Caenorhabditis elegans: one gene and its partner. The protein of the gene in region 1 purifies or fractionates together with the protein of each later gene. This does not show direct contact. Each region holds a gene or a part of one and is shown in the gene's direction. Other genes may lie near its edges.

The links.
Region 2: the proteins of natb-1 (region 1) and Y23H5B.8 fractionate together in Caenorhabditis elegans (co-fractionation; one large-scale study listed by BioGRID). This does not show direct contact.

Annotation. Positions count from the first base shown.
Region 1 is NC_003283.11:7,982,138-7,985,245, reverse strand, and holds natb-1 (N-alpha-acetyltransferase 20), read left to right. Parts: upstream 1-1,814; 5' UTR 1,815-1,828; coding exon 1,829-1,906; intron 1,907-1,955; coding exon 1,956-2,046; intron 2,047-2,097; coding exon 2,098-2,227; intron 2,228-2,274; coding exon 2,275-2,497; 3' UTR 2,498-2,589; downstream 2,590-3,108. Other genes in the region: abhd-12 (Serine aminopeptidase S33 domain-containing protein), read right to left, coding at 350-592, 639-840, 897-1,018, 1,087-1,103; F26D11.1 (Gluconokinase), read right to left, coding at 2,609-2,801, 2,955-3,108.
Region 2 is NC_003279.8:2,545,856-2,550,314, reverse strand, and holds Y23H5B.8 (T20D4.11-like domain-containing protein), read left to right. Parts: upstream 1-1,915; 5' UTR 1,916-1,987; coding exon 1,988-2,194; intron 2,195-2,982; coding exon 2,983-3,111; intron 3,112-3,160; coding exon 3,161-3,349; 3' UTR 3,350-3,929; downstream 3,930-4,459. Other genes in the region: Y23H5B.3 (T20D4.11-like domain-containing protein), read right to left, coding at 4,162-4,374, 4,452-4,459.

The DNA of each region.
Region 1 (3,108 bases):
TAAAAAAAATTTGGAAATGTTTAAATTTTTTTTAACAAAAAGAAAAATGGCCAAAACTTGAAGCAATTTTTCGGAAAAAACGAAACATTTCCGAATTTTGAATATGGAAGTTTCGAATTTTGATTTACACCTGCAACATATGAAGCTGTTTTTAATTTCTTGAAACCCGATTTTTCAAGAAAAAATGTTATTAATTTTGGTGAACTAGAGCTATGCTCAAAAAAGCCATCTTAAATTTGTATTTTTTGATATCAAAATCAGTCAGCATTTTTTTTTTGCATTATCCTCAGTACTTTAAAAATTGAGTTTAAAAATTTCTGATTGCAGTGAAATAATAAATTTAACTCACCCAGTTCCCATCGAATGACCCCATACAATAACAGGCGTCTTCCCGCAATTCTCCTTCAGCCATTCGTATACTGTTTTTGTATCTTCAACAATTCCTTTTTCGGTTGGTGTTCCTTCTGAATCTCCATATCCTCGATAATCGAAACAGACGACATGATAATTACAATCACTGAGCAAATTGTACATTTCCACACGATGGTAGAATGTGCGATCGAACGAGTTTCCATGAGCGTAGAAGATAATTCTGAAATTTATTGATTTTTTTTGAATTCATTCTTTGAAAATCCTACTGATTCTCTGAATCCCTCATCATATCGTCAAAATCTCTCTCTGTCGGATGTTTTCCTTCTGTTCTCCATTCTAAACTCAATTTGTTGGGCAGAATGTGCCAAACACCAATCCTTCCACTTTTTCCAGGCAAATGAAGAGATCTTCCGATTGATTTAACGTTGTTCGACGCCAAATCATTGTAATCGGTGTTCGGCAGACGTCCTTAACAAGGTAACATAGATCAAAGATAAAAGATAAGATAAAAAAGAAAAACTAACGGAAATTGAGAAAGAAGATGAACTGTGTGTAGCGTGGAAGAAAATATACCAGTATTGGAAGGAAGATGACAATTGAGAGGACTAGAATTGTGATACAGAGTAGTAGCGGTTGAATAAGTACACTGAAATTAAATTTTCGTTTAATAAATCAAGTTTTAAAATGTGGAAAAATGCCTAAATTTAAACTTACATAAAATAGCCTAGCATGATGTTGATATTTTGTTAGTTAACCGCTTCCATTCGAGTAGTCAAGTCACCTGAATGCATACAAAATGAGGTATATTAGATAGTGTACTTGAAAGTGAAAATGGAAGCAAAAAAACTGGAATTTCTTTAAAAGAAAGAGAAAAGTGGAAGAGAGAAGCAGAGGTATACACAATATACTCACCCTGCTAGTCACTTATTGATTTTTTCTCCTGTTAGTGTTTTGTTTGTACTTGATGACGGTCAGGAGGAGCGCCTGACCGCCTGACCGATTTATTTTTTGAAACACAAAAAACGAAAGAGGATAATTTTTCAACGGACTACGGTGGACAAGTCCGCAAACACCGCGCACTAAACTTGCGTACTTTAGGAATTTGCAAATTAATTTGGAATTTTACTCTTTTTTATTAATTTTTAACTTAATTAGCCTGATAATAGCTTGTTTTATGCTTAAAAATAAATCAACGAGCTGCAAAAATAATTTAAATTCTGACAACACAGCGCTATGCCCTTTACGAAATTTATTTGAACCGTTTTTAATAGTGCCACCTCGTTTTAGCACTTTTTCAACTCTTTTCCGCGTTCGCCAAATTTATTTTCCCATTTTGTTTGCAAATAACGAATTTAAAATTTGTTAACTCTCTCAAGTAATGCAATTTCTTTGTGATTAATATAACACTTAAATTTACCCTTCAATATTGCAATATATTGCAGAACTGCGAGTAAAAATGACAACTCTCCGGCCATTCGACGTTATGGATATGTTCAAGTTCAATAACGTGAACTTGGATATCAACACTGAAACGGTAAATTGCTCAGTAAATAAAAAAAATTTAAATATATTTATTTTTGCAGTATGGCTTCCAATTTTACCTGCACTATATGATGAACTATCCGGAGTATTACCAAGTTGCTGAACATCCAAACGGGGAAATTATGGCCTATGGTTTGTTTGAAAATAAATGAAACATAAATGTGAAATAGTTTAATTTTTCAGTCATGGGAAAAATCGAAGGACGCGACACCAATTGGCACGGACATGTAACTGCTCTCTCTGTGGCTCCAAATTTTCGTCGATTGGGACTAGCCGCCTACATGATGGAGTTCTTGGAACGTACTTCTGAAGCGTAAGTGATGGCAAATTAATATTTTATTAAAATCTAAGAATTTTCAGTCGTAGAGCATATTTCGTCGATCTGTTTGTTCGTGTTTCGAACAAGATCGCCATCGAATTGTATAAGAAGCTTGGATATGTCGTCTACCGGCAAATTATTGGATACTACACTGGAGATAGGGACGAAGATGCTTTTGATATGCGGAAGTCGCTTTCTCGCGATCCTGAAAAGAAAGCGATGGTTCCTTTGAATTATCTCGTGCACAGTAGAGACGTGGATTAATTTTAGATTGTTTTGTTTAGTATTTATTTATTGTTTAATGTTTATTGTGTTGGTTGTCTTGTCAGTTATGACAAATTATTAAATTTATTTATATTATTTAGATTTCTAGAATCATTCACAAATCAATGCCAGAGTCTTTACAATTGTATCAACAATTTGATCCACATTTTCACTATTCGCATCAACAGTGACGATATTTGATTCATCGGGACTCGGAAGTTCAAGTGTAGCCAGCTGACTATCAAGTAAAGTAGATGGCATGAAGTGTCCGGGACGGGAATTCACGCGTTGCTGAAGAACTTCCCTGCAAAAAATGAAACGATGAATGCGTGAAAATGTGTGAAAGTGGGAAAACGAGCGGACGGAAGCGAGTGCGAATTTGAGTTGTTTGTTGTCCATTTTCACTTTTCTGCCCATTTCTTTCACCACATTTTTTTGCGCGCTGAACATTACTTGCCTTTTTAAATTCAACAGAATGAAAACAGCTCTTCCGCTGGCTCCATTGGGAAGATGTTCACAAAGAATGGATCTATAACGTCTTTTAAGCGCAGAACAAGCGATAACGTATCCTTGATTGAGTCTTGCGTAGTTGTTAATAGCTTGAAGCCATG
Region 2 (4,459 bases), on another chromosome or scaffold:
TTCGCTTCATCCTCGACTGGCGGCTCTTCCGGCTTCTTCTCGACTTCTGGCTTCTCGCTAGACGCTTTCTTCGATCTTTGTGATCCCTCCTTCTTCGATCTTGCAGATCTCTGCGATCACTCCTTCTGAAACAAAAGAGCTTCGTAAATATACACTGTACTCCGTAAATCTACACAAACCTTCTTCTTCTCGGACTTCTGCTCCTTCTTGAGTCGAGCCGATCTCTGCGATCCTTCCTTTGCCTTCTCCGCCGATTTTGCAGGCACTCCACTCTTGGCCGGTGGTGCCGGAGCGGCAGAATTGCTCTGAAAAGATGGTTGTTACAGTGGCCGAGAAATAACTCTTCCACTCACCTTAATCTTCTTTTGTCGTTTCGAGTTTTGTTGTCTCTTCGAGTTTTGCTTCTTGTCTCGTTTTGATCGTTTCGATCGCTTTGATCTCGCCGATTTTCCTTTGCCACCACGCGAATTCTCACGATGTCCGGTGGTACAGCCGACGGCAATGATCGCTCCAGAAATTGACGCAGCAGCAGCGAAACACACTGAAAAACAAGGAAATTGAGATAAATTGATATTTCCGGCACTTTTGGCAATCGATAATTACCGGCAACTGTCGCCATTGCCTTTAACTATTACGAACCGGCAAAATTGGATTTATCGGCGCTTAGCGGCAACTATTGTTAATTGCCGGCGACTATCAGTAATCAATAAAATTAGAGTTTCATTGCCGGCGGTCAGCGGTGACTATCGTTAATCGAAAAAAAAATCCATTTGTTACAAGTAATGGCTGCTGCCGGCCACTATCGGCAACCGCCGGCGACTACCGGCAATCAATAAAATCGGAGTTATTGAAGATTGTCAGCAACCATTATGACACTTATTGATTTTTGTAGACACGCCGGCAACAGAAGCGGCAATGCTCCGACAACATCCTCGGCGATCGCTCAGCAACCATCGGCAACTTTTCCTAAACTCACGGTAATTCATGGCACCATGGAGGTGCTCCATATCCAAGCTCATTGTGAAGAGTCGAAATTTCGAAATAATTGATTTTTCGCCGAACAAGATTTGTGGTCCCGTGAGTTGAGATTTGATTATTTGATAAGAAAGGTCAGCACGGTCATTGACATTTTTTTAATTTTAATTTTTTTCTTTTTAATATTTTTGAAAAATAAATTTTAAGTAAAATTTTAGATAATTTTTACAGTGGTCTCTTGTTGATCTCGGCTGGAAGAGGAGTGACGTCACAGATGGCCTAAGAAAATGTGGTGTGACCAAGTTTTCCGCCAATTTCTGTTTCAGAAATTTGTTTAAAAATTTTTTTTCTAATTCAACACTAATTTCTCCTCAGAAAATTCAATTTTTCCGCCAAAAAAAAAGTTTCCCAGAAAATTTGAATTTCTCGTCAAGTTTTTTTAAATCAAAAATTTGAATTACCCGCAAATGTTTTTCTTTAAAGATTTCAAGCTCCCGCAAAAAAATTTCTGAGAAAATTAAAATTTTTCGTCAATTTTTGTTCAAAAAAATTGAATTTACTCGCCAAAATTTTTGTTTCAGAAAATTTGAATTCCCTCCCATTAACTCAAACAATTTGAAATTCCCGCCAATATTTGCCACAGAAGATTTAAATTTTCCACCAAATTCCGTTGTTTCAAATTTTAATTCCCCACTAACTTTTGCTCAGAAATTTTGAATTTTTCTGAAAAAAATTTGAACAAATTTGGCATATCCCTTTAAAAAATATAGATGGCAGATAAAAAACTACAAAAAAAATTTAAGTCGATTTTCCCCATCTCTCCATTGGAAAAATCGATATTTCTATACCTAATAAATATGAATCCGTTGACCTCAAAATATTTGTTTTCCCGACTTCAGAGACTATCTCCCGGGAAGATATATCTTCACGGAGACGAGGGATATATCTTTCGATAGGTCATTTCTTCTTCTTCTGCTATTCAATTGTTATTATTCAATATTTATACACCGAAATGGCCAAAATTCTCTTGTTCCTTCTCTCGACTTTCTTCGTTTTTTCCATTGTCTCCGGGCAACAAACAAACTATGAAAATTGTCTCACGAAGCTCAACAAAATGAAGAATATTTTGAATAATTTGAAGCTGGAAACTACGAAACACGGCAAAAATGTGAAAATTGGTAATTTGGAAACATTTTATCATATGTGCATTGACACAACGGTTAGTTTTATTTTTTTCAGCAAAAATTTGAAAAATAGAGTTTCGAAAAATATTGAATTTTCAACAAAAAATTTCTGCAAAAGTAGTAGGTGGCCTAGAAATTCTGCGGCCACCGATTTCCAATTTTTCTCAAATGTAGTTTGTGAACATTAAATTCGTTTCAAATAATGCCAAAAAAAATTCCATGGGAGGCAGGCGCGGTTTCAGGGCCTGCCTTCATCCTGCCCGCCTCAGCCTCTGGCCTCTCAACATTTTTCTACACAATGGCGAGAAGGAATATTTAGCACATTGGCAAATTGCCGGTTTGCCGATTTGCCGGAAGTTTTTAAAGGGATTTTTTCATAAGACGGAAACACTTAAAACTGTGCTTTTTTGAAAATTTTCCCGTTTTCTTTAAATATTTTCATAGAATCTGCTCACTTTTCAAAATATATGTAGGAAAATTTATAAGGTACGTACAAATCTGCCGATTGAAATTGAAATTCTGAAATTTCCTTTAAAAAATTGTGCAAAAGCACAATTTGCCCAAAATTTTCGGCAATCTGCCAATTTACCAATTTCCGGAAAAATGGTTTGGTCGCCACAAGGCGGGCGAGGTAGGCTTCTCTGCGCCTGCGTGGAAGCCTACTGGATAGAGCTTCTGTGATCACAACCAAGAAGTGGGCGGAACGAAAGGCCACGCCCGTTTAACGGCTCCCAAAAAAATTATGAGCATCAGAGGCCACGCCCAAAATTTGGTACATCACTTTTAGTTTTTTTTTGATATTTAAAAAATTAAAAGTTTTCAGAACTGCGTAGAATCAATGGAAATCCCAGAGCTACTAAAAAGTATTTTGAGATTCGGAACAATGTTCATGAGATCCGCCTGTGAAGACTTGGGCTTAAAAGTCGGACCATTCAGTAAATGCATGGAAAAGGTACCTACAAGCTTCTCCGAAAAAGATCCTCTAGAACATTTTATTTCAGACAAAATTCGACGTAACTACTCTGAAAAACACGACGATTGGAGAGGATAAACCAAAGTGCTGGTTGACACCTGACGAGTTTTCAGAGCTTCAACGGGTTGTTCAAGAGCAATGCGGAGATGAAGCATGGGAGGATATGTTGAAGAATGAGGATAAGGTCAAAGTGATGACTTGTGAAAATCAGCCATAATGTATCCAAACGACATTCCGATTCGCGGGGGTTGATCCCCTTTTTATCAAATGAAAAGCACCTATATTGTGTTCATTGTTTTTTTTAACCTTATTTTAACTTTAACCGGGAAACGAAGCCCAACTCAGGATATGGGCGGACTCTCTGTATTTTTCGATGTATCGATTTCCTTTGTTTGGATTTCCGGGATCTTGGTTGAAATTATAAATGACCAGGACATTAAGAAAACATTGGCCATAACGATTTATTTTATTTTTAAAATTCTAACAAACTATCATAAAACTGTCTCTGTTATTTATTATAGTTATTTATTATTTATTTATTATTTATTTATTTATTATATTTATATATTTATTCCACAAATTCAATATGCGAAAAACGAACGAAACCCTGTGTGCCACTAGGTAGGCGTCTGCGCACATTCTGCGCCGATTAATTTCTTTTCTATTTATCGGAAAGTGCGCAGACGGCGTCAAAAAGTGGGGCTGGAGACCAGCCACAGCCCCAAAAGGAGCTCAGCCCCACTGTAGGGGCTAGCTAATAGTGCATCTTTATGTTTTAAATAAAAAGTGCATTCAAAATTTGCGATACATCCATTTTGAGATAGTTTGTGAGCTGATAGCTTGTTTTTAACGATATATGAAAAATTGGTCATTTTTTTCTGCGGCCGACTTGTTGAGATGCTTGCAGAGATTATCTCTAAAATGTTGAGAAGTAGGAAAAAGTTGTCATCTGGTCAACATTTAGTTAGTTGATAGCACAAAATTGCATTATATAAAAGTTTCAAAATTGCCTTCATTCTTCAAACATCTTCATTTCGAATTAGGATTACCTGAAATTTTGATTTTCAAGCTATTACTAGAATTATTTGAAGGCTTGTAGATCCTGTTGCATCCAAAATATTCACGAATAAAATTCTCATTATCCAGCATTTCTTTGACGGCACGGGGGCCGCATATATTTTCTATTGGCATTGTCTTGCATTCATTGTCAGCCTCGAAATACTCGCATGTTGGAAGTTGTGCCTAAAAATCATATATTTGTAATGCAAATGCGCTCCACAGCACGCAAAATTCAAACTTATGTAAAAAAGAAATCTTACCGCATTAT